Caenorhabditis elegans: one gene and its partners. The protein of the gene in region 3 purifies or fractionates together with the protein of the main gene of each other region. This does not show direct contact. Each region holds a gene or a part of one and is shown on either strand. Other genes may lie near its edges.

Evidence for each region.
Region 1: the proteins of sma-10 (region 3) and daf-4 purify together in Caenorhabditis elegans (affinity purification with western blotting, with the first as the bait; one study listed by BioGRID). This does not show direct contact.
Region 2: the proteins of sma-10 (region 3) and sma-6 purify together in Caenorhabditis elegans (affinity purification with western blotting, with the first as the bait; one study listed by BioGRID). This does not show direct contact.

What each region holds. Positions count from the first base shown.
Region 1 is NC_003281.10:5,620,904-5,632,607, forward strand, and holds daf-4 (Cell surface receptor daf-4), read left to right. Parts: upstream 1-4,238; coding exon 4,239-4,379; intron 4,380-4,459; coding exon 4,460-4,591; intron 4,592-4,959; coding exon 4,960-5,082; intron 5,083-5,703; coding exon 5,704-5,811; intron 5,812-5,860; coding exon 5,861-5,969; intron 5,970-6,040; exon of another isoform or gene 6,041-7,303; intron 7,304-7,592; coding exon 7,593-7,655; intron 7,656-7,765; coding exon 7,766-7,911; intron 7,912-7,958; coding exon 7,959-8,066; intron 8,067-8,557; coding exon 8,558-8,943; coding exon of another isoform or gene 8,944-8,968; exon of another isoform or gene 8,969-9,195; intron 9,196-9,554; coding exon 9,555-10,255; intron 10,256-10,722; coding exon 10,723-10,940; 3' UTR 10,941-11,419; downstream 11,420-11,704. UniProt on the Caenorhabditis elegans protein: Involved in a TGF-beta pathway. May be a receptor for TGF-beta-like ligand daf-7. Controls the decision of whether or not larvae enter a developmentally arrested state, known as dauer, in response to environmental conditions.
Region 2 is NC_003280.10:6,321,800-6,330,794, reverse strand, and holds sma-6 (Serine/threonine-protein kinase receptor sma-6), read right to left. Parts: upstream 6,312-8,995; 5' UTR 6,307-6,311; coding exon 6,167-6,306; intron 6,120-6,166; coding exon 5,969-6,119; intron 5,751-5,968; coding exon 5,661-5,750; intron 5,616-5,660; coding exon 5,504-5,615; intron 5,460-5,503; coding exon 5,304-5,459; intron 5,262-5,303; coding exon 5,168-5,261; intron 5,079-5,167; coding exon 4,998-5,078; intron 4,953-4,997; coding exon 4,816-4,952; intron 4,769-4,815; coding exon 4,465-4,768; intron 4,389-4,464; coding exon 4,217-4,388; intron 4,174-4,216; coding exon 3,775-4,173; intron 3,730-3,774; coding exon 3,655-3,729; 3' UTR 3,440-3,654; downstream 1-3,439. Other genes in the region: set-4 (Histone-lysine N-methyltransferase Suv4-20), read left to right, coding at 16-348, 395-595; C32D5.4 (uncharacterized protein), read left to right, coding at 7,716-8,247, 8,680-8,795, 8,843-8,969.
Region 3 is NC_003282.8:270,717-282,260, forward strand, and holds sma-10 (Leucine-rich repeats and immunoglobulin-like domains protein sma-10), read left to right. Parts: upstream 1-3,885; 5' UTR 3,886-3,909; coding exon 3,910-4,151; intron 4,152-4,399; coding exon 4,400-4,471; intron 4,472-4,824; coding exon 4,825-4,899; intron 4,900-4,944; coding exon 4,945-5,082; intron 5,083-5,126; coding exon 5,127-5,270; intron 5,271-5,328; coding exon 5,329-5,544; intron 5,545-5,668; coding exon 5,669-5,881; intron 5,882-5,933; coding exon 5,934-6,161; intron 6,162-6,208; coding exon 6,209-6,713; intron 6,714-7,125; coding exon 7,126-7,411; intron 7,412-7,461; coding exon of another isoform or gene 7,462-7,525; coding exon 7,526-7,822; intron 7,823-8,809; coding exon 8,810-8,942; intron 8,943-9,002; coding exon 9,003-9,099; 3' UTR 9,100-9,223; downstream 9,224-11,544. Other genes in the region: crmb-1 (Serine/threonine-protein kinase), read left to right, coding at 27-110, 161-1,383; srh-282 (Serpentine Receptor, class H), read right to left, coding at 1,599-1,796, 1,844-2,265, 2,361-2,547.

The DNA of each region.
Region 1 (11,704 bases), on a different chromosome or scaffold from region 3:
CAAGCAGGCAAGCAGGCTCAGGCAAGGCTTGAGGCAAACGCAAAGAATACTTGCCTGCCTGCATCAAAGCGAACAATCTCTCATGCCTACATGTTTGGGTAGGCACGTAGGTAGGCACGTAGAAAACTGCTTTTACTACTTTCAACACTCCCAAATTAGAAATTCTGGCAGTTGCCGAAGTCTGCACACTCGGCATTTATTAGAGGCTGCTTGGCAGAAAAATGGAAATTCTCACTATCAGCAAAATTATTGCTTATCACTAAAAATTTGCTCCCCAAACCACCGATTTATGCAGCATAATCTCGTGTTATTCTTTCCTTCCTCATAATCATCTTCTCTCCCAATATCCTCTTTCCAATTCATAAAAAATGCAGTGTATGAGGAAGAAAGAGAGATAGAGAGAAAAAAAGAAAAAGACAGAAAGAGCGCTGAAATTATTCTCTCAACAAATCGAACGCGTGGTTGTTGTGGAGAGGAAGAAGAGACACGGGCGGCCGAATAGAGAAAGTTAGGCGTACGAAAGAGGCCTGAAACGCAGACATGTAGACAAATGCAAGTCCATCGTCTCTTCATTTCGTGTACTCTCTATCGTCTCTTCCCAGTTGACGACCCGAACACACGGCTCACAATGCCCGGGCACATCGACTAAATGATTGCGCGGGAAAATGAGGCACCCAGGTTCCACCTCACCGTCTTTTTCTCTTCCTCTCTCTTTTTGCTCTTCTAATTTCCGTTGGGTGAATACTGCTTCCCGGGTGTACCTTTTTTTGAGCTCGCCAGTTGCAGAAAAGTTGTCGACCTACTTTCTTCTTTCAAGTAGGCAATCGGCAATAATGGTATTTGCGATAGAGCTATTTGGGCAATTTTAGCATCTAATGGCGGTTGCCGAAACATTGCCGAGAATAACTAAATACTAGAAGTGTATCTCCCTGACAACCTCATTCTTTTTCTCCTCAAGCTGAAAGCTCCAATTTGTCATAATTTGCAACTTTGAAACTTTTTCTGATTGTCAAAAATCTGCAAACTCACCTTCTTCCTGCTTTACACTTTTTCATCTTTCGTTCAATTTTTCTATCTTTTTTTCTAACAGTTTTAGTAATGTCAAACATTTAGCTTCGTTATCTTTTTTCTCTTGCACGCCTGAAAAGGGTTGCCAACTTACAAGATATAGCAAACGTTTTGACAAATATTTTGTTAATTGAATTTTTAAGTAAATTTTACCATTCTTTCTTTTTTTGGAGAGAATAGAGAAATGATACATTCTAGCTTCTATGCGGTTCCCTTTAACATTCCTTGATAACTCTCAATGTTCTTGGCAATTATGGAAATTCCAGAAAATTGTATGTTTAGTATCCATGTTCACTTTCCGCTAATTTCTGATCTACTGTTCAAGTTCTGACCACTTAAAACATCTCCCCCTGAGTGTCCTGCAAAAAAAGTTATATGTGACTTTTTCAACATTTTTTCAACCCTCCCTGCAAATCGTTTGACCTATTTGGAGTGCGTCGTGGGCGGGCTGGTAATGACCATCATTTTCCCAAATAAATTATTTTCGGAAGTGTTCTTCACGGTTTGTGTTTTGTAGTCAAAGTTCTAGTGAAGTTGTTTGCAACTTCGGAGTACTTTGCTGTCGAGGTATTTCCGTAAGAGTTAGGAAAAATAATGTCAATTGACAAATTGTAGGAAAGTTTGTGCTGAACATATTTGAGCAATGATTGTGCTATTTTTTTTTGCCAATTCTGAGTTATATCACTTCATAGTTAATATTTTTTGATATTTATAATCGCAAAATTCATATAAAATCTTAAACTTTTATTCCCACTGACCATGAATAATATTAATTCACTGAATAACTGATGATAAGTACCCAATCTTTTTTGTTTTGTCTCTCTTTCTCTCACTACTATCTCTCTTTTCTCTTTTTCAAATGAGAAGAACTAAAGCAAACAAGTTGTGTCCTTTTTTTCACTAATGTTTAACCTCGAACCGACAGCGAAACCACACTTTTTTGCTGCAATTTAACGTTTTCTCACACGATTGGACCTTTTCATGGAGGTCTTTTATATTGATTTTTTTGAAGATTTAAAACTGTTTTTAAAATTTTTATACTTTCGACCCATCATCAACATCAAGTTTATTTTCTTCTTATAGGTAGCTAACCCCATAATTTTTGCGACATTTCCTGTTTTGAAAATGAAAAAAAAAGTTGCGAAAAATAAGTTAAAATGCTACAAGATTTATGTTACAATTTTAAATGTTCTCATGGAAGAAAATAATAAAAAATGATTATTTGGAAAAATAAATACAGGTTGTTCACGAGGAGTACTTGAACTAATGTTTTGAATTTGATCTAGTTATACGGAAAAATTTGAAAAAGTAAACATAAGTTTAGTTCCCGCCGAATTAGGTAGTATGTATTTTTTAATAATTGAAATTCGAATAATTTATTTTTTTTCTTGACAATTATCTCTTTTCATATAATTTTCAAAACCGTCGTGTACTCATCGTGAGCAATATTGCTTGTTCTTCGACCTCTTACTTTGAACTCGATGGTTCCTTCAGGTATTCCGAGGCCTTCAGGTTCCTACTATTTTGCTCTTTTCCTTCTTCTTCTTCTTCATCTAACATAAGAGAGCTTTGGTCTTACACGCCTGCTGCTACCCTCTCCTCCTTCTTCTGCAACAACAACAAACCCACCGTGGTCACATGTGAATTTCGCCGAGTTTCACGCTCTTTTTCCCCCTTTTCTTTTTCGGCTTTTGCTGCAAAAATAGAACGAGTGAATAATACCCAGAAAAAAGCGAGTGCTTTGTTGTTGTCAAGGTAAACACAAAAAATATATGAAAAATGTTCAAAAAATATTCGTTTTGACATTCTCTTCTCCCACTTAAGTCGCTTGATTCAATGTGACGGGGAGGCTTGAGGCAGGAGGAAAAGTATAAATTCACCTGAAATAACGAATGGTGACATGTTTTTGAATAAGAAGAAGGAAAGGATGACGTTGAGTGGTACTTTCTATTTTCGTACGTTTTACAGAAAACTTATTGAAACTTAGCGCCCGACATCTAGCCCAAACTTGGACGAACACCTAAGCCTAAGCCCAAGCCTAAATCTCATTTTAGACTTTTAGCCGAGCCCACGCCTACTCCAATTCCGTTCTGCTGAAAAAAACATACGTTTTCCTGGTACCACGCACGAAATATAATCCTGAGAAACTTTTTTTGGTTACATTACATGTGTATAGCACATTATTTAATTTTTCCTCGAATTGCTAGTGTATTTTGGGAACCGAAATATGGAAAGTCCAGTTAGTCCGAACTTCGCCCATTTCCTATAAGGTGCAGGTGTTCATCGATACTATATTTTTCTCAAAGTTCCCGTTCTATAGACCCCGGAAGATCCCGCCTTCATTCTGTTTGGGCCCCGCCCAACTTTAGCCCCCTCCGATGAGAAAAAGAGCACAAGAGGACAGCGAGCCCCTCTTGTAAGGTTCTTGTAGGTCAGATTGTCACGTCATTTGATTTTTTGTTGTTGTTTATTAGAGAACATTGAATGAAAACCTTTTTTTATTTGAAACAAAAAGTAGAGAGTAGAGTTTGTAAAAGTGATAAGAGTGTACCAATCTTTGCTGTTTCCTCGTTCTTTTTCTCTTTTCTCTCTTCATTTCTGATGTGTGCTTCTCACTTCATTTTTTTTGCAAACTTTTTGTGCTTCCTTAACACTTTTCACATCTTTCGTTTGATGGAGATTGTGCAATTTATTCCTATTTTTACGGAATTTTTGAAAAATTTGGTTGACATTTTTTAGTTGAAAGTTTTGAACTCTCATGGTGCATCGAAGTAAAATTCAAACATTTTATTTTAAAAAAATGAAAAGTTTTTTGTTAAAAAAATTGGAAATTTCGAATGTCGAAATTCGAAATTTTTTTATCCGAAATTTCGATTGCTTTTATTTGAAATTAAGAAATTTAATTTTCATCAAAACTAAATTTTTAAAATTTTAGCTGGAAATTTTAGCAAAGCTGGCAATTTTATTTAATTTTATCGAAATTTTCGAATTTTCGAATTTTTGAAATTTTATTTATTTTTTCTCAAGTTGAATTTGTTGACCTATTTTTTTTATTTAAATAAGTTTGCATCTATTTTTCTCAATAAAACATTTGATCTTAATTATTTATTTATTTTACTCCTCAACTTTAAAAAAAACGTTACAATAATTCAACTACCTTCAATTTTCAGATGAATCAGAAAGGGACAGTACGTCTCAAGGCACTTGTGCTCATTTGCCTTCCACTCTTTTTAATTGCCACACCGGTTCCTGTTGCAGTCACGGAAGACGATCGTCAGGACCGAATCGAATCGGAAGCCGCCGAGAAAGAGGTGAGCATTTTTTGAGAAAATGTGTTTTTGTCGTAAACTTCTTTATTTTATTCTATCTCCTTGGTTTAACCATCTTTCAGTGGGCTAACACCCTAGTCAGCAAAGTAGCACAGTCAAATGGAACTGGCACTATTAAGGTCTCGGCACCAGCGAAGCCCACGTTAAGGAGAATGGACAATGAGGAGGATGAAGTGATTTCGATTGAATGTGTAGTAAGTTTTTGGATCAATTTGATGGAATTTAGGCTCATTAGATAGTGTTGACGTTTTGGGGATCAGAAATCAGTGACTCTCCCGTTTGTTTAAAAATTACTGGATCAAATACACTTTAATTCCAGTGAGCCCTGTTCCCCTTGTAGAGGTCGCAGAGCCAATCCACCCACATTCCACTGATCCTTGTTTCAATTAACTATAGTTACTTTAAAGTACCAAGATATTCTAAAAGGGATAAGTTCAAACCCGCAAGCTACAATAACTACAACTCCTTTTGTTTTTCAAGTGTTATCACTATTCCATAATTATAGGCTCTCTTCCCCAAAATTAAAGCAGTAGTAAAAACGTTAAACTTTAAAATTTTGCAGTACTACGACGAGATGGAATGCGAAAAGAGTGGCGATTGTGAAATCACAAAGAAGACGTGTTACAGTGAAGCTCATCTGAAAGCCGTCGGATGCTTGGCCGTATTTGGGCTGCCCACGCAAGAGGTTAGTGTGGAAGAGGTTTTTGGCGGCCACCCCCAGACCGAACTGTGTCACATGACGGGGGCCCTTTATATATATTGTTTCATTTGTTATTCATGAGTGACATCTTCTTCCTCTTCATCCGCGGAAGTATTTGTATCTTTTGCATTTTTTTTTCCATTCTGGCTTATGACTTTGTCAGCTGGAACAAATTGGGGTGACATGACTCGTGATTTTTGATAGTTTTGTAGGATGGAATTTGAATATCAAAATTAAAATCAGAATTGCATTAGTTTTATCGAAAACAAATACATATGAGCAAGGTTTTGGCCTTTTTGAAGACGACTTTGAAAATTTACTGAGCGACATAGGATTTAAACGTGGAACTTGATTCAAATTGAAAAAAATACTGCGGAAAAAGTTAATGATCAAGGCTTTATTATTCCTTTGCTACAAAGCTCTTCAAACCAAACTTAAAAGTTGTTGAGTTTATCAATCCAATTTTGATCGAATCCATTAAAAATGTGCAAACCAACTAATCCGGATTTAGCTGCCCATGTTTCAAAAGATGATTAATTGAGTAAAGGGGATAATAATAGATATATGCATCCATATTATAAACATCAAAAATCTTAAAATTTCCAGATAAACTCTACAGAACCATACCTGAAAGTTGATAAACCGCAATACAAAAGTCTGGGATGTATGCCGTATCAGCACGCGGACTCGATGAACTGCGAGAACGAAAGCTCCGTAAGTTATATTTCAGCATTCGGAGCACCTCATAAAACTGGAATTTCAGTGTCGCCAAGGACGATCATTTCGCGGCGGAATTGGAATGTGCTGCTGTTCGACCAACAATTGCAACATGCCGGATCTCATCGAGATGGTCAACCCGTCATTGAAGAAGGGTCAGTGAGCACATTATATTAAGAGAGCACTATATCCCATGTTTAACCCCATTCTTAGTATACTAGAGCAACACGCAATGATTCTGTTTTTGTGAATATACATATATATCACCTCCTTCTTTTTACCTTTTTTACCTTCTTTCTGTCCCACTTTCTGTTTAAATAACCTTCTTTCGGGTGAGCGTTGGGGCTAGAGGCTAGGGAGAAATTGTTGGCATTGAAATGAGAGGTTTTCTGTGAAACATTTAGCTTTAAGTTAGCAGAATTTTCACGAAAGTTGAACAACCACGCGTGTCTGTGCCTAGTTATTTTTTCGAAATACGGTTCATCATACGGAGGTTGCCTCCCATCAACTAAAATACGACAGAGTTGGAGCACATTCGAGAAAATTCCCAGGAAGTTAGACAAAAATGTGGCAAACTAACGACGAGTGTAGGGAGATAGTGGACGGAAGTTGGCAAACGTTGCGAGCAAATGAGAAGCACCAAATTGCAATATGTCCTAATGTAGAAGCGTTCAGGCGAAAGTTCGAGAGAGTTTGGCGATGTTTGGTTTGAGCTCGGCCACAGTAATAGGGAAAGTGACGCGAAGTGTGATCAATCTGAGTCAAGCTTTCGACAAGTGAAAGACGAGAGTAGGAGTTGAGGAGCGGGCCAGATGGAAGACGGAAGCTGCGACGAATCTTCAACTAATTTATGAGCGTTGAAAAAAAAAGTTGGAGAGAGGTTATGGGGTTATTCAAGTAGTGTCGGAAAATTAAAAAGTGTAGAAAAATTACGTCACAACCTTATTCAAGTAGATAAAAACATGTATTTAAATACATTTGTGACGTCACAAATGTATTTAAATGCATTTTGCTACATTACTTGAATAACCCCATTAGAAAATTTTGAATGGTCTCTACGGATCTCAGCAAACGTTCGTCCAAACTGCGACAACCTTATGACGCGTTTATGATAAAATTTGAAGTTGAGACAATGAGAGAGAAGGATAACCGAGCAGAGGTTGAGAAGAAAGCTCGAGAGAGCTTGGCAAACATTGAAAGATAGTTCAGCTAGCCCTGAGACAATATTTTGCGCCAAAGCTGAACAAATTTCCGGTGGAAGTCAATCGGAAATTAAGAAAAATATGGAGAACTTCCCATTACTTTAGCTATACTCCTCCCAACCTTTCCCCGTGTACCCTCAACCTGAAAGAATCCACCTCTGTAAAAGCCTGCAGTTGTCATAAACCTTGTTCCCAATTTCTCTTCCCTTTCCTAATTTTCTCCGAAAAAAATGCACGTGGACCTCTCCAGATTGTCTCCTAATTTTCTCTTACCCCTCACACATACACACACACACCATTCATGCAATTTTATGTTTGTTCTTGTGGCTTTGCAAGTAAACCACTTTTTTATTTCAACTTTCTTTTGTTCTTTCTGTTTCTAGAGGCGATTCGCAACGACACTCTGCTGTTATTTGGCTCCTCCCCTCCAGTGAGCGGAGTGTCGTTGCAAAGTGAAACAAACGCTTTTTCGTAATAATTTGCACCCGTGGAAGATGCCTGTACACACACACACACATACAAATAAAAACATGTACACATTTTGAAATCACCTATTTAGAGCCGATAAAATTTCAGATTCGGATAATTCTGCACTTCTGTGGGCTTCAACTCCATCCAACATGGATTTGGAATCTCTAGGTACTGTCTGCATCTACGTCTCGGGGCTAGCTGGGTACTAACTAGGTGCTAAACACCCTCTACCACACATCCCCCACTCTTGTCAGTTTCTCAATGGAGCGAATTTGCAGACAAGTTCCCATTCTACTGGATCATCATAATCGCACTGTCAGTGATCCTTTGTATTGCACTCTTGATCTTGGCATACGTTGGTTGGAAATTTCAGCAGAATAAGAAGGAGGAGATAAAAAAGCAGCAGAAAATTAAATTTGACATGGCGAGTTTTGTCTTTTTTGAAATCGAATCAATTTTCGAAATTTTCAGGAAAAAACTGACGCACTGGAAGCTGGAAATGTGCCTCTCGTGGAGCCGGAAGAGGAAATGATTGAAATGGTGGAGACACCAAAGGAGCTGCCGATCACTGATTTTCAGGTATGTAGGTACCGCAAGAGTCGTGCTTGATATTTTATATTGAAACATGCTCTCTAAATCTAGAATACAACATTTGAATTTTGAAAAAAAAACCATATTGGTGAAACTTTTCAGCTTTACATGAATTTTTTAAAAATTATCAAAAACAATTGTTAACATAACTTAAAAACAACGAACAATTCTGAAAACATTTGAATTTATGGTTTTTTAACAGTGTCGGGGAACGTTTTCATTTGGCATTGGAGCGCATTTGCACTTTGATTTCAAAATTCACATATTTCGCGTCTTCATAATAGTTCGTCTTTTTGATATTTTGCTCGGAAGTTCGACCTCACGGTGTAAACTTTTGATGTCCACTACTTTGTGAACTCTGAGCTTTTCCTTACTTTTTCTTTATCTTTGAGAAAAAATGTTGAAAACAACAGAAGGCTCTTTTCATGAGCTGATTGACGTCACACTTACACTCAATGACATTTGTTCGTTTATTGCAGTTAATCTCAAAGGGACGTTTTGGAAAAGTTTTCAAGGCGCAATACACCCCAGACAGTGGTGAGAAACGATTGGTTGCGGTGAAGAAATTGAACGAATTCCAAAAAGCGAGCTTTTTGGCGGAGAAAAGAATCTTTGATGAGCTTAACGAGTACCCGAAGTGGTATAAAAGTATCGTCGAATTTGTGTGCGCCGAGAAAATTGGTGATGAGTATTGGATTGTGACCGAATTTCATGAGCGACTTAGTCTCTATGAGTTACTCAAGAATAATGTAATTAGTATTACATCTGCCAATCGAATTATTATGTCAATGATCGATGGGCTTCAATTCTTGCATGACGACAGGCCGTACTTCTTTGGACACCCAAAGAAGCCAATTATTCACAGGTTAGTGGAAAATGAAAATAATTAGAAAATTTTTAATGGATCTGACTTGTGATCGCCCTCCAACTAGTTTTAATGCTCAGAACTTTACTCTAGGTTGGTCCTAGAAAAAATCGGAAGAAGTTGCTAAGTTGCGCTTGAGCAGCCGACATTTTCAGGATCAATTAATAGTAGCGTGGACCTACAAGTTGTCGGCTGCAATTTCCAGTAAATATTTTTTGAAATACACACGATAGAGTCCAAAATGATAGGGTAAAATATTGAAAAAAAAAAACCAATTTTTAGGCGCATGACAATTTTCAGTTGAAGTTTCGAAAAGTTAGGGTTTAGAAAAAAAATAAAAATTCAAACAATTTTGTACATTGGAACACCTAAAGTATCTAGAGTTAATTAGAACATAATCAGAATATAAATTTCGCGGGAAAATTGTGTACAAAGTGTTATTATGATATTCGGTTTACTATCGGAGAGATTCTAACCAATGCTCCCAGTAACACTACGTTACCTTTTAAGAGCAGGTAGCGAGTTTCAACGACGCACGACGCTGGTTAGTGTATGCTCCAAACTGTTTCTAATGTCTGTACTTATTCAATTCAATAACCAATTTTTTGCAGAGATATCAAGTCGAAGAACATTCTTGTGAAAAGCGACATGACCACATGCATCGCGGACTTTGGCCTCGCCCGAATCTACAGCTATGACATTGAGCAAAGCGATTTGCTGGGTCAAGTGGGAACGAAACGCTACATGTCACCAGAGATGCTCGAAGGAGCAACCGAATTCACGCCAACTGCTTTCAAAGCGATGGACGTTTATTCGATGGGACTCGTCATGTGGGAAGTCATATCCCGTACCAAGTTGCACCAAACCGACGAGCCACCAAACTACCAAATGCCGTTTCAAGTCATCGGATTTGATCCCACAATTGGTCTCATGAGAAATTATGTGGTGAGCAAGAAGGAACGACCACAATGGAGAGATGAGATTATTAAACATGAATATATGAGTCTGCTAAAAAAGGTTACGGAAGAGATGTGGGATCCCGAAGCGTGTGCACGGATTACAGCTGGATGTGCGTTCGCGAGGGTATGGAATCATATTATGAGCTCACCGGACAGTTCGGAGGGGTATCACAGTGGAAGTAGTATGAAGAATCGGGGTGTTGATGATGTTGAACAAAGTGAGAAGCCGGAGGGTATCGAAGAAATGCAACATTATCATGCGTCGTCACCCAGCAAGAGACAACATCCTAGTCCGAATCCGTTTTTTGATTCGTGTCCACCACCTCCGCCGATTCCTGTGATCCTTGAAAATGGTGAGTGTACAGTGAATCGAATAAATAGTTGACATGACCCGTGAGATGTCGGCTGCTTGTGAAAAGCAGTTTCTAAATTTTAGGTGACTTCCCAGGAGATGTCGGATGCTCAATGCAGCATAGCTTTAAACCTTGAGCAGCCGACATCTCACTGACTAGTTATACGTTTGTGTAGGTAAATGTAGGATGCTGGTAAATGACCGACCGACATCTTATGGGATACGAATGGCTATGCTAAAAAACATCTCACGGCTAATTAATTGGTTTTGTGGTAACAGTTTTCTGAAATGATTGGCTAGTCCCTAGCAGCCGATGTTTTGTGAGTTCACTGATGTTTTAAGAGTGCCCGCTGCGTGAACCAACGAGCAACCGACGTTTTGCGGGTTCCAAAACCTTATTTGCCTGGCGTAACTAGTAAAGTGTCGCCTGCTATTTTTCCTTTTTTATAAACAAAAATTATTTTTCAGGAGGAATCCTCCAACCAGACAACGCGGAGCCAGAGCCCGAAGAGCTGCCGGATCTCCCGATAGTCGAGAAAATCTACGATATTGCGACGAACATGCTATTCTCAAGAGAAGAGCTTGACCTTATGAATGCTCAACGGCAAGTTGAATACGAAGCTGGGGCAGACACTCGAGCGTCGACACCAACGCCTTCAGGGACGTTTGGAACGTTTACAACATAACTATTCATTCAAATCTAACATTATTTTATATTATGATTATACTCCCATCCTCTCCTATTCTAGTCTATATGTAGCGGTGGACACCTCACGGGCCCCTCGCCGCTGGCCCACCACCTTGTCTCTACTTACGCGTCCCCTAATGATCTCAATTTGAGCACAACCGGTGTATATATCAACTTACAGACGTTCAATATAAGAACCGCTAAAAGTTCTATGTCTTCGTCGTCTAAAACTCTTCCAAAATCTCTGATCTCTTGCATTGTCTCTCACTCAACCAAGTTGCCCACTCTCATCCAACTAACTCAAAAACTTACCTCAGCCCATGGGGCATCCCCATATTCTCTCATTCATTCACTATATTCATTGATCTGTGATAACTTTGTATTGGCAGTTCACATCACACAAGAATCTTTTTTTGTATATCAGTTGATTATTTATTCTTCATTTTTTACACTTAAAATTAAATAATGTTTCTTGCTATTCACGAAAAATTGACATTTTTCTTTTTTCAGATTCATCCGGAAATACCCATTTTTAGACAGCTGATATGCCTCATCACCTGCCACTAGTTAGAATGTTTCCTTCACTTCTTATTTTGTTATTGACTATCAACTTTCCGTCTATTTCAACATAAAACATTTCCTTGTACGGCAGTAGCCAACCGACGCCTATTTTTGTTCCTAGCCCTTCTTTATGTTAGCTTTTTAATCCAAAAAGCTTTCCACTCACACAATCTTTACTGGGCCCGCAGAATGTCGGCTGCT
Region 2 (8,995 bases), on a different chromosome or scaffold from region 3:
TGCTGTTTATTCCAGATTGTTCGATTTCTCAATATGTTCATACTTGATTCTGGGTACACCATCCAAGAATGCAAACGCTATTCGCAAGAAGGTCATCAAGGTGCAAAACTTGTTTCAACTGGGGTTTGGAGCCGCGGCGATAAAATTGAGCGGCTCAGCGGTGTCGTGTGCCTGCTATCCAGCGAAGATGAGGATTCTATACTGGCTCAAGAAGGAAGCGATTTCTCTGTGATGTACAGCACAAGAAAACGCTGTTCGACTCTATGGCTAGGTCCAGGTGCCTATATCAATCATGACTGTCGGCCGACCTGTGAATTCGTATCACATGGAAGTACAGCTCACATTCGAGTATGTTTATTGATATCATGTTAATTTCAAATGTGTAAATTTGCAGGTTCTTCGTGACATGGTTCCCGGTGACGAAATCACCTGCTTCTACGGCAGTGAATTCTTCGGTCCAAACAACATAGACTGTGAATGTTGCACTTGCGAGAAGAACATGAATGGAGCTTTCAGTTATCTCCGTGGAAACGAGAATGCTGAACCAATAATTTCGGAGAAGAAGACCAAATATGAACTCCGCTCACGATCCTAAATCATAATTTTCAATCATTTTTACAAATTAATTCATGTTCCATGGCCAGTGTAAATACGATATCTTTTACGAAGAGAAGCATTGGCTTTTCTTTTCTTTAAATTCTGATATCAAATTTCTATTTTCAGTATAGCACAGCCCCAGTACCAGTACCGCAGTTTTCAGTACACTAGATACCTGAAATCCATAGCGATCCCAAAGAAACTTTCTTCCCCCTTTCCTTTTTGGTTCTTGTGTGTGTACAACGATCTCTATCTGTGCTCTATTTTGTTTTCTTATTTTCATTCTTTAAAATTCCAGATTCATTTTTGAAATTACAGTATGTCTAATCAATAAATTATTTATAAGAAGATGATACACTTTTTAATTAAAATACACATTTTAAAGCTCAAATAAATGTAGGTACGGTTACCGATTGTCTCATTGGATCTCGACACAAGCTGACTAATTTTGATATCAGCAAGTATCAATTTTTATAATATTGGTCATCAATTGCGATATTTAAGTATGGCGGGATTTGAAAAAAAGTAAAAAGGGGATAGAAATCACCAGTAAAAGTTGTTTAAAAAAACGAAGTGAACATCTTCCAATCTTTATACAAGTTTAACTTGATCTGAAGTGGTAAACTTTTGATAGCTTATATCTCAGTTGTCGTAGGTTTCTTTTTAAACTTGTCAACTAACAAAATATTTGTTAGTTCTTTTTCTATCGTTTGTATTGTAATATTTATTGATATATTTAATATTAAGTGAGATAATACCCTTTAAAGCAAAGCAGCAGGGGCCAATACTAATAGAAGGATTACGGTATTTCTGATTTTTACACCAGTATTTAATGTTTTGTTTCAGTTCTGGAGAAGTGATTTGCAGAAACAAACGTTCACAGTAGTCTTCTTTTAATCATTTACTGTTTGTCAGGAAATTAGTATTGAATGCCACACAAAAAATACTTTAAAATGAATATTTCAATATTATTTTAATTTAATCATTTAGATTATCCAGCTAAAGAACTTATCTAGATACTAGATATTAGGCTCAATCCCCCACTGAGCCCAATATCTCAAAAATCATCTAGCCTTCAATTTTGACCCTCACCCTCACAAAGTTCTCATCGTTACTAATCATATTATTTTTAACGAGCCTTTGTCAATCCGTTGCTGCACCTTCGTACACCAATTAAAAGTATCGATCTATATGTGGACTGCTCCGTCGCCCCCCGACGTTGCATTGTTATCGATGACACCGCCCATTTGGTGATAGGCAACCATCTTTTCTGTGTCTCAACTATCTACCATTCCATAAGCCCACCTACTTTTGTGTCACTATAAAAGAGAATTGTGGTGTAGGTGATAACAGTGCTCTTTGTATTATTATCTACAATTACTTCGTATTCATATTCTACTCGAAAACCGCTTGTTCTTGAACTGGAAGAGTGCCATAAAATCATGACAAAGTACGTGATATTATGCACATTTTCTAGTTCAAGACTTGAGAAATCGGTTAACTGTTTTTGAAACAACTTCTGATTTTTGTTGACGGTAGTTTTTGCTATCATGAGTTCCGGGTAAATATCATATACTGTAAGACATTTGTTAGAAATCACAATGTTTCTTTGATTGATTATTTCAATTTGCTTATGGGAAACTCTTAAGTCAGAATATTTTTTTAAGCTTTCCCAGTTCCAATTTACGTTTGCTTCTTTTTTTGAAAACTTGATTCCTCTCTTGATAGGCACTCTCATCGAATACAAGAGCCTTGATAATTTAAGACTTAGAATTATACAACAAAAATCTACGCAAGGAGTCAAGATGTCTGGGATTTGATGTAATCATAGAGACAGTATACAAAAAAAAACGAATACAATTAAAGGACCTACTTAGATTGTAAAGTTTCTGGCACAATTTTCAAATCTCCCGTAAAAAAATTGTGCCAGGTCTATAAGAAAATACATTTCCTGCTTCGACAAATCAACCTTAACTGTTTCCATTCCGTATTAAACTGGAATTAACTATAATGAAACAATTTCTTAAAAATTCAATGGATGGTTCTTTGTACATGGATGGTTCTTTGAAAATTACTGTATCAGAACAAGTTTCAATTTCAATATAAAAACGCTGATGGTTATTCAACGATTTGCAAACACCGTGATAAATCTCGCTGATTTGCCGATCTTTCTGGTTTGTGTGCGAAGTTAAAATTGAATTTATCAAATTTACAATTGAAAAAATACTTTAAAAAGCTTTGTGAAATAAAGACTTAGTTGCATGCATCATATTCGATTTCTACAGTCAAGTGATTCACCTACAAAATAAATCCAGACAGATGGACATTTTGCCGTAACTTGCAGTGCAGAAATTTCTTGAAATATTTGATATCCTTAAAAATTTTCTAGTCGAGATTTGTCAAAATTAAAATATCATGAATCCACTTTTAACTTTACAAAAGGATGATCTTCTAAAATATGTGATAAACGAAATAAATTGTGAAAATGATATCAGATGTGCTTTGTGTTTTAACGAATTAATGTTTCATTGTTCCAACTGATGCAACTTGCAGTTGTCTCCCTTTTGTTTCACCCAAAAGAGTTGTCTAACGGTGCAGTATTATCTTATCAAACCACGTACAAGTATGCCTATATTTGCTCACAAATGCAGTGCACACCAATCCAGATAGATTCAGATAGAGAGATAATAAACGTACATTTAAACATGGTTGAGCTGATAATTTTGTTTGCTCCGTCTTCTGCCACAGGGAGCGCAAGTTAAGAATTTGTCTTATCGGCAATCTATCAAGGAAATATTAGGCAATGATGGACAATAATGTCGCATAATTACAACACGAACGTACAGGTCTGGAACAATGTTTATTCACAAAAATTGCAGTAAATCGAGATGAGAACAAGTTCATAAGAGTTGCACAATTAAAAAATTGATGGGAAATTATTAGAGAGATCGCTTTAAATTTTGACCGTTGTGGAAATATGAACAAAACTGAAAAAGTAAAATTGATTTTAAAGAAGCCAAAAATTTTGGTACAACGAAAGTAAGATCAGAAAGTGGGTTAAGATTGATTGGTGGCTGACTCAACAAGGCCACTGTCTTGCTGTTGGAATTCAACTTTACGCTGCGATTGATTCTGAAAACATAGAGTTAGATATAGCTCCTTAACGTGTTGAATTACCTGTCTGTCGGGGTTTTTGATCAACTCAGCCATTTCTTTTTTCAATTTAAGAGCAGAATGTCGGAAGTGTGGAATTGAATGCCAACTGTCTTCCATCAACTTGCTCAATTCATTAAGTGCTGGGACGTTTTTCCAGGCAAGATCCGGTGGTGGACGTATTCGACGTACACAAATTACATCGTTCATCTCGTCAAAATTGGGATCATTGTGCACGATTCCATCGAATGGTGGGACATGTTGTTTTGCTTTCAGAGATGTAGAATGTCCTTCTACATTTGTTTTTTGTAGATGCATTCTCGATATATTACCAGATGAACTAACTGACTCTCCGATACCACTTGATGCACTGTGATCAGGAGAGGTCTCATCGACAGTTAACACTTCCTCACAGGTGTTTACCTACAATCATGGCCTTTATTTTAAACTCATTGAATAATCATACCTCAACCCTGATTGCAACTTCCCACATAACAAGTGCCATTGAGTAGATATCTGCCATCTTGAACTGAGAAAAATCTTTTGGATTCAACTTGTTTGATATCAGTTCTGGAGCCATATATCGTTTTGTTCCAACTTGAACATTGAATTTTTCAGGGAGAATTTTGTCGTTTTGACTGAAAACATTATTCTTTCTAAATTTCAGAACAACTAAATCTTTGGTTTTCAGATGCATCATTTGAAATAACTCACTATCGTAGTGCCAAACCCAAATCAGCGATACAACACACATTTGGTCGTTTGACTATAATATTCTTTGATTTAATATCTCGATGTGCAATTTCAGGTTTTCTAAAGCTTCCAGTTCCGTGTACAGCTGCATGTAGATGTTCAATACCACATATACAACTGTGAATAAGTCGAAGAGCTTCATCTGTTGTCAATGTTTCTTCACGGCAAAGATAATCTGATAAAGATCCCAGTTCATGATAATCAGTGATAAGAAGCATCTTTGTCATTGAATCTTCCTCACTCCAAATATCAGCCGCCACGAATTCTGAAACAATTCTTGAAATTCAAAGTAATTTTACTGAAATAGCTTACGAAGGATATTTTCATGATTGATCATGTTAGTTTGATATACATCTCTTTCATTTTTCCATGAATCTTCATCAGTTGTGTAGAATGTTTTTACAGCCACGTAACTTCCACGATACAGAGCTTTGCGAACTTCTCCATATCTAAAAAATATAGGCAACAAAGATTAAAATAAGAATTAATTTTACCTTCCCTGTCCAATTGTTTTAATAATTGTTAAATCTTGTCTCACTGTCCTTTGGATCAACGCAGCCTGCCCAGAACCACTTCTGAAAATTGTATTTGTTAAAAACATCACTTTCAAAATAATGGGTATGATATCTCTATATCGCAAATACTCTAGGAAATAAAAACGAACCCTGAGTCTTCGAGCATTGATTTGCTCTCCATGTATGTTGATTCTGTTTTCAGAGACACCGTCTTGGCTCTGGCTCTGGCTTTAGATTTTTCTTCTGAAACAAAATATCAATTTAGTAATTTAAAAACTGTCTCACCTGCTCTTGTAATACATAAATAAATACATCCAATGACTGCAAAAACCGACATGACTGTTGCAAATACCATTATGAACATTTTTCCTCCACGTGTCATGTTTTCCAGTGGAGAATCATAGTCTTCTGGATTGTCAGTTTTCTCTTGAAGTGCTTTCTCTGAATAGTCCCTGTTAAAAAATTTAAATTAAAAAAAAACTCACCCTTGTGATGATGAACATATGCCGGCGGAATCAAATTCTTATTGCAATAGTTACCTTCATAGCAACAACCAATACTTTTAGGAGAATGGTGAGCTGCTCTCCAAGAATTACACTGAAAAACACCTGGTGAAATATTTCAAAAAACTCGATGAAACACCGTCAAATGTGAAGCTCCACTTCCTCTTTCCAGTGTTGCACATCCCCATTTATGAAGAGTTTCCATTCGTTTTTCAGCTTTGTTATAAACCTAAAATTTATTTTTATAATTTTGAAAATAATCATAATTGCAATAACATCGATTTTTCAAAAAAAAAAAATTATTATAATTTGTCAGTTTCAAGAAATGAGAAAAATCCATTCATTAAAAAACTGGTAACGCCTAGATCATATGTTGCTAACCTCCATGGTGTAAAAATATTCCAAAAAATAAAACGGAAACTTTCAAGAGCTACAAGTTAATTTTACCTCTTCAACGGCATGATAACAAGCAGCTCCATCTTGTTTCACACATGTCATATTATTTCCACATATCGACTGATCATAATTGCAATAACATCGATTTTTCAAAATATCATTGGGTCTGTTCCGAAGCTTCATCTCTTTTAAAACTTGTTGCCTGATAAGAAAAACTGAATTTTTGATAAAATATAAAAACTCATGTACCTGAACTCCTTTGGAACTCCTATTGCATTTTTTGGAATGCTCAACGCTAAGTCTTCATCGTCAAAGTGATCATAGTCTTTTGAGCATTTTTGAGTATTGAAAAATCCGAAAATGAGAATAAATATAAAGGTGATGTTCATTAAATCTGAAATTTGCAAATAAATTGATTAAAATATATTGTTAATGAAGTCAGTTGCGAAAAACATGAAAATAGAACGAGTAAAGACAGAGGTAGAGATGAAAAGACTGTTTGCCGAGTTTCCTCTCCGTTTCGTACAATATTTCAATCTACGGCCTCTTCTATCAGTACACTATCTCTCTTAACTATCTCATCATTCACTTAATGTTCTTTTTGACAACTTGTCCGCCTAATGATACTAATGATCTGAACGGAAAAGTTGCGCCAAAATGGATATATGTATGACCGGAGAATAGGTAGAAGTGCGGCGCCTTTCTGTCGCGCCACCCCATAAAATGACGGGGTCATTAAATGGCGTGGCGCCATTTTTCTGAGAAAAATAGATGGATTAGATTTATGTAAAAGAGGGTTGCACCAGGTGTTTCTTTTTTTCAATATCTATTCATTGTTTCTATCGTTTGAAGTTTAGCGATTTTTGGGCACCGGATGAATACAAGATTCGGAAGGGCACGACAAATTTTTATAGTACTACAATTAAAATCGTCAGTAAGAAAATATCATGAAACCATGCTTATAGTGCAAAAATGTCCCAATACCATAGTAACACCAAAAAAAACTGAAATTTTTTATGTATAGTCACAAATTAGTGAAGAACTAGAAGTCGGCAAAAAAAAATCTACGAGTTTTATTTTTTTGTATTCAAATGTTGTAGGGGTTTACCGTTTGAAATTTCTTAAAAATTTACTTTTTTGGAAAATTTGGCAAACACAGGGGAAAATAATCATAATAGGGAAAGTAACAAAATAACAAGTTACAATATTGCTTCGCCTATCATAATTTTGAAAGTCGACCAATAATCCTACTTTTGATCAAAGAAGAGCTCAAAAATTTGCAAGAATTCCGAAGTATTTAAAAATTTGGAAATTTGCCAAAACTGAAAATATTGAAAAATCTGAAACAAGCTTTGAGTTTTGGTCATTCAAAAATGATATTTATTTGACAATGAAAATCTGATTCTACATTTCCTTCTTTGTTGTTCCCAACTTATAAAATATTAATAGTTTACTGGGGACTCGACAAATATTATTTTTTAAAGAGTTCTGAGCACTTATCGGAAATATCAATTTTGTAATAGTATGATACGTTTTGAGGGCACTTTAGTTTATTCACAATACTGGGCTTCTAGAAATTTTAGAAAAAATGAAACTAATGTTTTGAATACTTAAGTTAATTACCAGTGCCAGTGTTTTAGAATAAAAAAACACTTTATAGGATTCTATGAGTTTTTGGAAAGTTCAGTCCCGGCAAAGGTTGCCGAAAGCTTCAAAAAGCGAAAGTATAAAAAGTTCTGAAACTACAGCTTAACACAATGAAGCTTAAAAGTTCTCACATTATGAATATAAACATGTAATGTACTGGAACAAGAATATAAAATTGAAGTCCAAAAAAGACGACAAAATAATGAAATCTCCAAGGCAACAAGAATGGGAAAAGATTCATGATGTATATTTTTTCCTGACAATAAATAATACGCAAGGGAATTGTTTTGAAACTAATATTATTTTTACTGCCACACTATTTCATTCCGTGACATTCCAACTAAGAACTTCAAAACGAAAAAATATTGACGATTGGAAAAAAATAAATCAGTTTTTGATTATTTCGTTTTCATCAAAAATTAACATCGTACGCAGTATGTTAAAATGCAAAGAAGACGATTTCGAAGTGATGACTACACCGCCGGAAGAAGCCGAAATGCGAGAAAATCCGAATGAAATGAAACGTCTCTTGACGCACATGTCCACAACCAATACACCATTTGTTGTGCACGATCGGACTGGTCTCAGACTCTCATTTGCTGGCCTTTTGCCCATCACAACTGGTGACAATGGAGAACAACGCATCTGGTCATCAAGTATCATTTTGAATAGTGCAGAACTTGGTGAGTTGACGTCGAATGAATTGGTTCTTGGGACTCTGGACTACTACAAATTTTGGTGCAACTCTCTGTGAAACTTTAGTCTCTGTCAGTGTAATTTTGCGTTGATTTGGTACAGTTGGACAAGCTTTCACTCTATCGGAGCACAATTAGTTTTGCTTACCTCTGTGACTCGTGGTAGTACGTAGTTTTGCAATTTAGATTTCTCGAACATTTTTCAAAACTTTCTTCTCGTAGAAGAACTGTTGTAATGTCAAGAACACGGATTGCCACGATTTATTAAAGATAAGCTGTAACGAGACTGGCCATGTTGCAGTGTTTCTAGATGTTATAGCCTCGAACCTGTCTGGAGCTCCGAGAAAATAGTTCTTTGAGTGTGCTAACAACTTGAATACAACTCAATCGTCCGTCCACATTTCAAATGACAATTTTCAGAATATCCCGAAGTCAAGTACAAGCTACGTGTCAGCGTTAAAAAGAAGTTTGATCCAAAATTGAGCTGCAACAGAAATAAGGGAACAATCAAGCGAAATGATGTATTCGTGTTGACGGTAAATACCAGTAACAAGAATTTAATTTATAATTTAATTTATTTCAGTACCAACTTCCTGAATCATCAATCGAAGCTGTCCGTCTGACACTTATTGTTGATGGAAATCCACATGAAATTCCTCTTTGTAAATATAAAAAGGCAGATTATTATTGGCTTGGAAAAGAAACAAATGGTAGGATTTTTCTGGAATTGTGACCA
Region 3 (11,544 bases):
GAAAACCGACGGCATAATAAATTTAGATGCCGTTCAAACTGTGGATCTTCCGAAAATTCCTCAGAAGAAAATACGTTGTGTCTATTCGATAGATGCAGAAGAAATAGAAGGTGCGGTGCTTTTCATAGATGTGCTCATCTTCCATGTTGTAAATTTGGAGGGAAGAAGTGCATGTTGGAATGCATCAGATCTAGCTGCCTTCCTAGATATGTAGAATGTCATCGAAGGCGGCGTTGTTCAAGAAAACAAAGATGTCACACAACAACACAACCACCAAGCCCCACGACAGAATCACTTCCAACTTCTACAACAACCTACGAAATGAATACAACGTCATTGGAAACTTCAACCACTGATATATCAACAATTACATCAACGGAAGAACCCATCAGCACAACGGTGAAGACACATGAACAATCGTCCACTTCCGGCATGGAGTTTTCCACGATGTCGACAACTTATGAACCAATAACAACGACTTTGGAAACTTCAACGACTGATATTTCAATAATTACATCAACAGAAGAACCAGACACCAGCACGACGACGGAGTCGAATGAACAATCGTCCACTACCGGCATGGAGTTTTCCACGATGTCGACAACTTATGAACCAATAACAACATCTTTGGAAACTTCAACCACTGATATGTTAACTAATACATCAACAGAAGAACCTGACATCAGCACGACAATAGAGCCAAATGCACAATCAACTACTTATGAAATGGAGTCTTCTACTGTATCGGTCACATATGAGCCAGAAACAACATCTTTAGAAACTTCAAGTACTAAAGTATCATCCACAACAGCAACGGGTGAACCTGCCAGTACGACGATGGAGGCGAATGAACATTCATCCACGTTTGAAACTGAGTCTTCTACTGTGCCAGCTACTAATGAACCTATAACAACGTCATTTATCCCTTCAACTACTGATCTATCAATTATTACTTCAACGGAAGAAGCAAAAATCAGCACGACAATGGAAACAGATGAACTATCAACCACAACGGAGTCAAGCTACTCCACAACTCAGTTTACAACCTTCAAAATCCCAACATCCTCATTTTCGACGCTTCCTATGGAAGGAACTTCTACAAAGGAGCAGACTACTCTGTCTACAGAAGAAACATCTTCAGCCACAACAGCGACCATTTTTGAAAAACTTTCTACAACTCTATTCTTTGAAGAAACACAAGTAACATCAACGTCTGACTTTACATCGTCTCCTAGAAGTATTGAAACAACACGTGTCATAGAGTTCGATACTTCAACGGAACTGCAAACGACTTCCAAAACCTCTACCACTACAGAAGATACAACAACAGTGGGGACGACAACTGAAATGGAGATGAGAAGATTCTGGAGACTATTCGGATGACCGGATATATTTTATTTCTTGATATGTTTCTGTTTTGAGTATTTGATTTCGGGTAAATGAATGGGTTACATTATATATTTTTTGAAACTATTTAACAAAACTAAATAAATTTTGAAAAACTATTCAAAGTTCTCTGTTCGCTCACTACAACTCATGTTCTATCATAATCATATACGTTTGTTTTCTTCAATTAAAAAATTCATTCCTTAAGAGCATCACTTGAAATTAAAGATCTGTTTAAAATATTGTCGGTACGGTTTTTGAAGATAAATCATCAAAACGGTAGATGAAACACCATGTAGGGAGATTATATTACGTGCTAAATTTCCACTGCCTTGGTCGGAAATGTTATATGCTCCCATTATAGCCAACCAAGCAGAAGGTAGAACTACGAATAGTAGTGGTATTAAAATCTTAAAAAAAAAGAAAAAAATGAAAAAAAAAAAATTGAAACACAGACCTGTAATTTTATGGATTTCACGAAATCCCGTTGTAGTTGTAAAGTTTTATTGGACACGATCATTTTTCTTACTGCCCAGTTCATATTCACTTGTAGCAATGTTCCGAACACTATCATTTCAATAATTATAATTATCGTAAAAACTCTTTGAGAGTACACTGGGATCCACGGAAAATCGAGAGCCATAACGAATATAGGATTTTCAGGCGAATCAAATTGAATAAGCTCAGGATGTACCATAAATAATTGTTGCCTTGGAAGATATTGGTCAGGCATAGCATAATAAGTTGGAAGATAAAATGCCACTCCAAAGGTGATGTTGAACACTTTGAACGGGTATCTGACATGCCGCCACCAAGTTTTCTCTGCGAAGAGCACGAAGAAGCGGTTCTCGAATAACTGAACTGTGGATATTGCACAAACTGAAAATAATTTGAAGAATCTGGTTTTTTGTGGTTTTTGATGGAGGTTTTACGGTTTTCGGTTACAAGGTAATTAAATGAAAATTTCAACCTACATGCTGCAATAGTCATTCCAAAATAAATTTGAGCTCCCGTCCCTATACCTATCATGTGTAAAAACCCTAAAGGAATTCCGGCCATTGTAGTAGAGAAAAGGTATGGTTGACCCACACAGGTCATAATCATATCATATGCCATAGACCACATCAGAAAATTTAGCAGATGAAGTTTTGTAGAACACATTGTCGGTGGAGTCTTTGCGATAATACAGTATACGCCAAATAGTTGAACTGGTAGTGATATCACAGCTATCGAGTACTGAATTGTTGAGTAAACGGGAATCGAGCCAAAAAATTTCAAGAACATGTCTGTTTTGAGATAGAAAAGAGAATGCATCAGAAAACTGAAGCCATTTTATGAAGAAATATTTGAAGGTGGTTATTATACGAAGCACATGATGTGTATAACCAATAGTTTCACATAAGTGAAAATTATGAGCGAATAATAAAAAAGAAAGAGGAAACTAACCCTACAACGCAGATTTATGGGGGTGTGATCAAGCTGGAAACAATCTTCGACCGTTTGCGAGTCGCGGTGTTGCTCATTGTGCCCGATTCCGCTGACAATCGTATGTCGAGTAGGCCAATTCTGCAAAAATCCTGGTGGACAGACACCTCAAAAATTAAGTGTGAATATGGGCTGAAAGACTAATTTTCATGGTATGTAGTTTGTCAAGGCGCAAGACTACTAATAAAGGCTACTATTATAAAGAATACTAGAAGCTGCACTTATAGAGGAAATATCTCGACATTTGGCTTCAGCTTCTTGCCCAAGTTTGGCCAGAAAAATATTAACTTGGAACAGAAGTTGGCTAAACTTGGGCAAAAGTTGGGCAAGACTCTGGCAAAACTTGGATTTATGCTGCGCCAAAGTTTAACCCAAGTTTGACCCAACTCTTGTCAAATTTTTGTCCACATTTAAAGCTAAAAAAGGAAAGTTCGGGCCAAGCTTGGGTTTAACTTTGGCGCAGCTTAAATCCAAGTTTAGCCAACGTCTTGCCCATCTTTTTCTCAAGTATATCCAACTTCTGACCCAAGTCAATATTTTTCAGGCCATACTCGAGCAAGCTCTGGAATCAAATGCCGAGTATTGTATACCTATGCAAGAAGTTTATCAAAGCTTAACTGATCAATAACCCATATTTAATCTATATTTTCATTTTTAATACGCCGAACTGTCTAAACTAAATTCTTATCAACAGTACTCTCTTTCTCTAAATCTCTATTACTAAAGAAAACTGCGCCTCTCCGCCGTTATCTGCTGAATGTCTCTGAGTCTCTCAGTTTGTTAAGTCTTATTTGAGATAGATTCGGTATTTGTCGTTCTTTAAAACAGTAAAAAGATTGCGAGACGATAGTTTTTGAGGTTCTTCTCTTCCGTTTTCTCTGCACTCTCGTCAGTTTTGTGGGTCACATGTGTGCTATTTTGCGATTATTAAGCATTTTTTATTTTAATAAAAACAATTTTTTGGACATTGGTTTTTTTCCGACCTTATTCATATTTTCCTTTTTAAGTTTTCAGGTTTTCTGTGACAAAAATGTGGACATGATTGTATATTCGCTATTACTACTAATTCTGTATGATTTTCTTCCAAAAGTCGTTACTTTTGATACTGTCTGCATTGGACTATGCCACTGTGTTGGCAATGTTGTCGACTGCTCTTCACTCGATTTATCGGAAATACCAACGACGATACCTAATAACACAAGAATTTTACTACTCTCTGATAATGAAATAGAATCGATTGATAAATCGCGACTAAAAGGATTTTATTTTTTGCAAACCTTGTAAGTTTTTTGAGGGATATCAGTGTTTTTGAATGAAATACTAAAGTAAAGTAAATTGCTAAAAAAACATTAATATGGGTGAAGAGCTAAAATAAAAATAATTTTTGAGTTTCCTATTTTTGAATTTGTTCTGAAATCTACAGTACCATTCAGTGAAAATAAAAAAGTTTTGGAAACTTTCAATTTTTTTAATAAATACAATAAATTGATATCCCAAAAATCGTTCTTTAAAAATAATAACTTTGCAGAGATATTTCGAACAACATTATTCGACACATCGATTTCGAATTTTTCTACAATTTGCCAAACCTTAAGATTTTGTAAGTTCCATTTTCAATACATTTTTTAACGAAAAAAAAAACTATAAATACAAACTCAAGTACAGTAAGACACCCTCAAATTCCTGTTCAACAGTTTGTGAATGAATAAATATACAGTAAGACAGCGTGTTTTTCAAAATTCCTAAGAGTTACTTCTTATCAGTGGAGTTGTAACCAACCACAAACTCGTGACTTTTATCGTTCCAATAAGTTTAGTCTTTGATTAAAAAAGGATTGCAAAAAAGTGTAATTAAGACAAACACGGGCTCGTTCTGAACGGGATCTTAAAATGTTAGTAGACTGCAAAAATAGTAGATGACCTCAGAATATCCTACAACGCAGAAACATTACAGAAACATTCGAAAAAATCGCTTAGCACGAATACCTCGTGGCTCACACGAGCTTGGTCACTTGGAAAAACTGGATTTGTAAGTTTGCAATAATCAGTTTGAAAAAAAGTAATCAGTTCTCAGACGGTCAAACCTAATATCTACAGTAACCTCAGAAGAGTTGAGTTACTTGGCTGCTGTTAGATCTGTTGATTTATCCAGAAACCTGATATCATACTTGCCCAAACCAACTACCTCCGCAAAAGTTAACATTGAAAAACTGTAATAATGGTCACAAGATGCAGTAAAATATTTTCAATTTACAGAGATCTCGCATCAAACTCAATCACAGACATTGGCACTGATCATTTTTCCAGTTTTAACACACTAGTTACTTTAAAACTGGCCAGAAATCATATCACAACATTAAATCAATTTTCTTTTTCAAGGCTAAGAAAGTTGGAGTCTTTGTAAGTACCTGGGAACGGTGATTACTACCTCATTTTTCTAGACAGTTTCACTTTCCAGAGATTTAACTCGAAATATGATACGAGAAGTAAGGTTTTTGGCGTTTAATCAATTACCATCACTTCAAAATGTAAGTTTGGCAAGAAACGACGTGTATCGTTTGGATGATGGGATGTTCTATGCTTGTGAAGGATTGAAACATCTAAATCTATCAACTAATAGAGTTCAAGCGGTTACGGAAGGTTGGATGTTTGGTTTAACGAGCTTGGAAGTTTTGTAAGTTTTAAGATGACGAATATGAATATTGACTTCTTTATTATTAATACAAATGTGTAATGACTTTATGAATATAAAAGTTGAAAAAATAATGCAAAAAAAGTTTATAAATCTTAAACTTCAGGGACCTGTCCTACAATCAAATTCAATCTTTCCACATCAGTTCGTGGAGCCATACTCCAAAATTGAAATGGCTTTCATTACATTCTAACCGGATTCAATCCCTACCTTCTGGATCATTCCGAGTTTTGAGACAACTAGAAGAGCTCATTCTCTCAGCAAACTCAATTGATAGTCTTCACAAATTTGCATTGGTGGGAATGAGCAGTTTACATAAGTAAGTTTGGGGATGTTATTAGATTATGAATAAACTATTATGAAATTTTCAGACTAGATCTATCTTCAAATACCCTGGCAGTTTGTGTTGAGGACGGAGCGGTTCTGTATAACACATCAATGCCTTTTCTTCGTTCATTAAGGTTTACGAATAACCAACTTCGAGTGATTCCAAAAAGAGCTTTTGAACGATTTCCCGCATTGGAAGAGTTAGATCTGACTGATAATCCGATAGCAACAATTCATCCGGAAGCATTTGAACCGTTGGAACTGAAAAGATTGTAAGTGGTCGGCTGAATACTCGTGTCATTTCTGAAAAGTGTTTTAGAGTAATGAACTCCTCTTCGATCCTTTGTGACTGTCAAATATCATGGCTCGCATCGTGGATTTACCGTTTGAAACTCGACAAGTCTTCCATTATTGCTAAATGTTCCTACCCACCTCCTCTTGCAGACTTGTATGTTGTAGCAATTGACACAGCAAACTTGACATGTCACAATGATTCTCCCCGAGCAAAAATTGTTAGACAGCCTGTAGAAGTAAGCACTTTGATTGGAGAAAAAGCTCGGTTTACATGCAATGTCTATGGAGCAAGTCCGTTGAGCATTGAATGGAGAGTTATGGAAAATGGTCAACCTAGAGTTTTGGTACAGGATTCTGCAACTTTCCTGAGCATAAATAGAACAGCTGTTGTGAATGGAACATTTGATGAAAGGGAACTTGCGGCCGCTGAGTTACTTTTGGACAATGTAGCTATGACCGATAATTCTGAATATCAATGTGTGGCAAGGAATCGATTCGGATCAGACTTTTCAACACATGTCAAGTTGCAAGTGAGTTTTTACACCTAAAATTTTGGCAATATTTCTCTCGAAAGTTTTGTTCGATTCAGCTCAAAGTTGATTCGATAAATATTTATGACTCGAAACCATTATATACTTGCTCACGTGGTATCAGAGTGTCTCATTTCGGTTTGATCTACGCAGATCTACAAAAATGCGGAAGTTGAGACGCAGAGTTCTCAACTGGCTTCGCATGGTTAAGAAGGTGCTGACGCACCATTATTTTGAGCAAAAAATTCCCGCATTTTTTGCTGATCAACTTTTGCTGATCAACTGTGAGCCTGGCACCACGTGCTTGTTAACATATTTTTATTATGCGTGTTTGTGAAAACAAGCAAAACAAAGGAAAGCATCACAAAAGTAATGACCTCGAACCTAAATTTGTGTTGTCTTTATTTCTCAGGTCTACCAAGCGCCAAAATTTACGTACACCCCAGAAGATATGCCACTTCTCGTTGGACAGACAGCAAAATTTTTATGTGCAGCCACAGGAACTCCAAGACCGGAAATCAAATGGGCATTCGAACAAATTCCGTTTCCAGCCGCAGAAGCCAGAAGGCTATATGTAACACCAAATGACGATCACATTTATATAATGAATGTGACAAAAGAAGATCAAGGAGCATACACTTGTCATGCAACTAATGTTGCCGGGCAAACACAAGCGAGCGCAAATTTGATTGTTTTTGGTAAGCCTTTCAGAGAACTTTCAAAATTAATCTATCGTTTTAACTTTCAGAATTAATCTACTGTTCTAATTCTCTAAGTTTTACTTGTTTGTTTTCTCAAACTCAAGTTTTCAGAAAACTTCTTCCACTACCCCGAAAGCCCTGATTTAAGCCCGATGCTGATTAAAAAAAGAGACGCATTAAAAATAGATTGCTCTTGTGATCTTATTTCCAGTCGACAGAGAATGGTGTGGAAACGGCAGCAACAAGTTATACTTTTCTTAAAGAAAGCAAAGTTCTCAGACAATGATCAAATTCTGACTCTAACCCAGACGACGTTCTCTGATTCTGGAGAATACTCGTGTGAATTATGGGTTGATGATACGATACTGATGAGAAAAATTACAATGGTGAAGGTGGTAAACGAAGATGGTAAGTGGGAACTCACTAATGGGGTTGTTCGAGTAGTATCGGAAAATTAAAAAGTGTAGAAATATTACTTCACAGATGTATTAAAATACATTTAAAAAAATTAAATACATTTAAAAAAAAATACATTTTGCAACATAACCTCATAACCCCCATAAAAGCAAACTCAAAAAGGCAAGACCAGCTTTGATCAAGGTTAGTCTCGGTTATGAAATTTTTTCTATTAAAGCAAAAAGTGTTGTTGTTTCCTCACAATTGTTGCTAAAAATATCATTTATTGATGAGGATATTACGAAGAGAAGTGAATACAAGCAGAGCACTGAGAAACCGTCCGGTGGTCAAGAATGACTCTCACTCACAATAACACTGTACACAGGGAGAGGGATAGACATTGAGCAAGTGGGAAGACACTATTCACCGGCAAACAGATCACAGAGATCAAACGATAGATAAAAATCTTTTTGTGGTACAGAACCCCACAACAGTTACATTACTAATCCTTTAACTGGCCAAAGCACATGCGCAACGACTTACTACTATTGAGCGCCCGCTTGGACCCATAAGTTTTTTTTATATGAGCATTCATAAAAACCTGGGAACATTGGTTTTTTGGTGCACAGACTCCGAATACACCAATCGTTTTTATCTTGGAAATATATAAAATTCCACCGTGAAGAGGTAGAATTATTTATGAGCTAAATTTGAGAGGTCCTATACAATATATTTTTTCTAAACTTCTACCAGTTTAAAGGAGGGCACATTTGTGCGAAATGGCTTTGCCACGCGCCATCCATTAATTTTTGGATCGCGTGGCGGGATCATTTTGAATAAATGCCTTTCCTTAAAGTCGTAGAATTGTAGAAAAAAAAATACTGTAGCAATCGTGGGCGCTGTAGTTTGTGTGATCAAAAACGGGAATGGACACATGGTCGACAATTTTAAGTATTTTCACAATTGATTATGCATAAAAAAGCTTTTAAAAAATTTTAGAATTTGTTTCTTCGGAAGCCACCTTAACTCAACGTGTACAACGCATCCGAGCAATGGCCTCAAAATTAGTAGATAATATCAAATCTACAGGGAATGGAATTTATCTCATGGCTTCTTGTAGTGCATTTGGACTGTAAGTTTCAAAGATTGTCTAAAATGTTTGTCCTCACTGAAAACCAGTTCATTTTTACAGAATGATTCTGGGAGTTATCACTTCAATTTGCATTTGCATTGCAAAATGTTCTTGCAATCAGAATCACGTCTTCAATGTACTACCAGTTCAAGTATAATCCTTTGTAATTATTGAATATTTTTAAAGCTTGCAAACTTATCTGTCATTTATTTATCTTCACCGGTAATTTTTTATATGTTTTGCGGGTATATTTTTCAATTCGAATGAAAGTAAATACTTATAATTGTTAAAGCTTGAACATAAAATTAAATCATAACAAAGATAACAACAACTCGAGTATTGCTAAATTTTTAGTTACAACATTTTTGTTACAGTTTTTAGTATGTTTTAGTTATTGAAATTCGCAGGAATAATTCACCATTTTCTTTTCTTTTCTCAATAGAGCGTATCTTCGATACTGTCCTTGACGCCAAAATCTTAAATCTAACAGCTTGTCCTTTTTGAATAGGTCATTGAAAAAAAAGGGACAGGTGCCATTTCTCTGTGTTCAATTCTTCTCAAATTCTCTCAATTCAATGAGACGAATTCTATTTGCTTTTCTTTTGATTTTTGAGGTTTTTTGTCCTGCTAACTTTCTGTTTACTTTTTCACACCTTATATTGTTCATTTTTTGAGTGCGAAGCTTCCGCGATGGGTCTCGACACGATTTCACAGCTTTTCTCAAATTGTTATGTCTGCGGCATTTAATTTCTAGTAATTGCCAAGTTTCCAGTAGAAAAATTCAAAAATCGAAAACTCAGTCAAAACTTCCAAAAAGCAGGCATAGATACGTAGCACATGACCAATTAAAATGCAAAATGAAAACAAAATACTAAAATCTCTGGTCTTAATTATGAAAATTAAAAAAAATATCAATTTACTATATATAAAGCGCGTGTCGTTCTGTCCCTATGTAGTTTGATCTTTGATCTTTGGTCTTTGAACTTTGTAGTTTGCAGTCTCATTCACACAAGAGGGGTCACATAGGCCCCCCCCCAAAAATTGGCGGGAATTCAAATTTCTGAGAAAATATTTTGGCGGGAATTCAAAATTTAATTTTTTGAACATATTTTGGCGGGAATTCAAAATTTAATTTTTCGAAAACATTTTGGCGGGAATTTAAAATTTTAATTTTTTGAAAATATTTTGGCGGGAATTCAAATTTTAATTTTTTGAAAATATTTTGGCGGGAATTCAAATTTTAATTTTTTGAAAATATTTTGGCGGGAATTCAAATTTTAATTTTTTGAAAATATTTTGGCGGGAATTTAAAGTTTTAATTTTTTGAAAATATTTTGCCGGGAATTCAAATTTTTATTTTTTGAAAATATTTTGGCGGGAATTTAAAATTTTAATTTTTTGAAAATATTTTGCCGGGAATTCAAATTTTTATTTTTTGAAAATATTTTGGCGGGAATTCAAATTTTAATTTTTTGAAAATATTTTGGCGGGAATTCAAATTTTAATTTTTTGAAAATATTTTGGCGGGAATTCAAAATTTAAATTTTCGAAAACATTTTGGCTGGAATTTAAAATTTCTGAGAAAAAGAACCTTCGTGTCGAGACCCTTCGTGGTGAGAGCTTTCGTGGAGAGACCCTTCTTGGTGAGACCCATCGTGGTGAGACCCTTCGTGGTGAGACCCATCGTGGTGAGACCCTTCGTGGTGAGACCCATCGTGGTGAGACCCTTCGTGGTGAGACCCATCGTGGTGAGACCCTTCGTGGTGAGACCCTTCGTGGTGAGACCCTTCGTGGTGAGACCCATCGGGGTGAGACCCATCGTGGTGAGACCCATCGAGGTGAGACCCATCGTGGTGAGACCTTTCGTGGTGAGACCCTTCGTGGTGAGACCCATCGTTGTGAGACCCTTCGTGGTGAGACCCATCGTGGTGAGACCTTTCGTGGTGAGACCCATCGTGGTGAGACCTTTCGTGGAGAGACCCATCGTGGTGAGACCCTTCGTGGTGAGACCCATCGTGGTGAGACCCATCGTGGTGAGACCTTTCGTGGTGAGACCTTTCGTGGTGAGACCCATCGTGGTGAGACGCATCGTGGTGAGACCCTTAGTGGTGAAACCCATCGGGAGTTAAAATTTTATTTTTTTGGAAACATTTTGGGGGGGGGGGGGAATTAAAATTTTAATATTTTGAAAATATTTTGGCGGGAATCCTAATGTTCAAAAAGTGAACATTTTCACCTTTTTTCATGAGATATTTTTGTAGGATTAATTGAATTGATGATATGTGTCAAACATGTCAAATTTTGCCAGTCGTTAGCACGCGCCTTGGCGCGTGCTAGCGGCTGGGATATATATAAGAGGGTGCAACGCTTACTTCCTGAAAAAAAAACTAAATTTATTATCAATTCATAAGATAGTGCGTAGATTAGTAACAAATGTAATTTCCCTCTTGCCACGTATCATTACAATGAATTGTTTATTATTTCATCTATGTGTGTGCTCTTCTCATTTCATTCAACAATCTATGCTCCTCCCCACAAGTCGTTTGTCTAGCTGTCTGCGTCTCTTATTTCGTAACATATTCTCTCTTTTGCTATTCTGTTC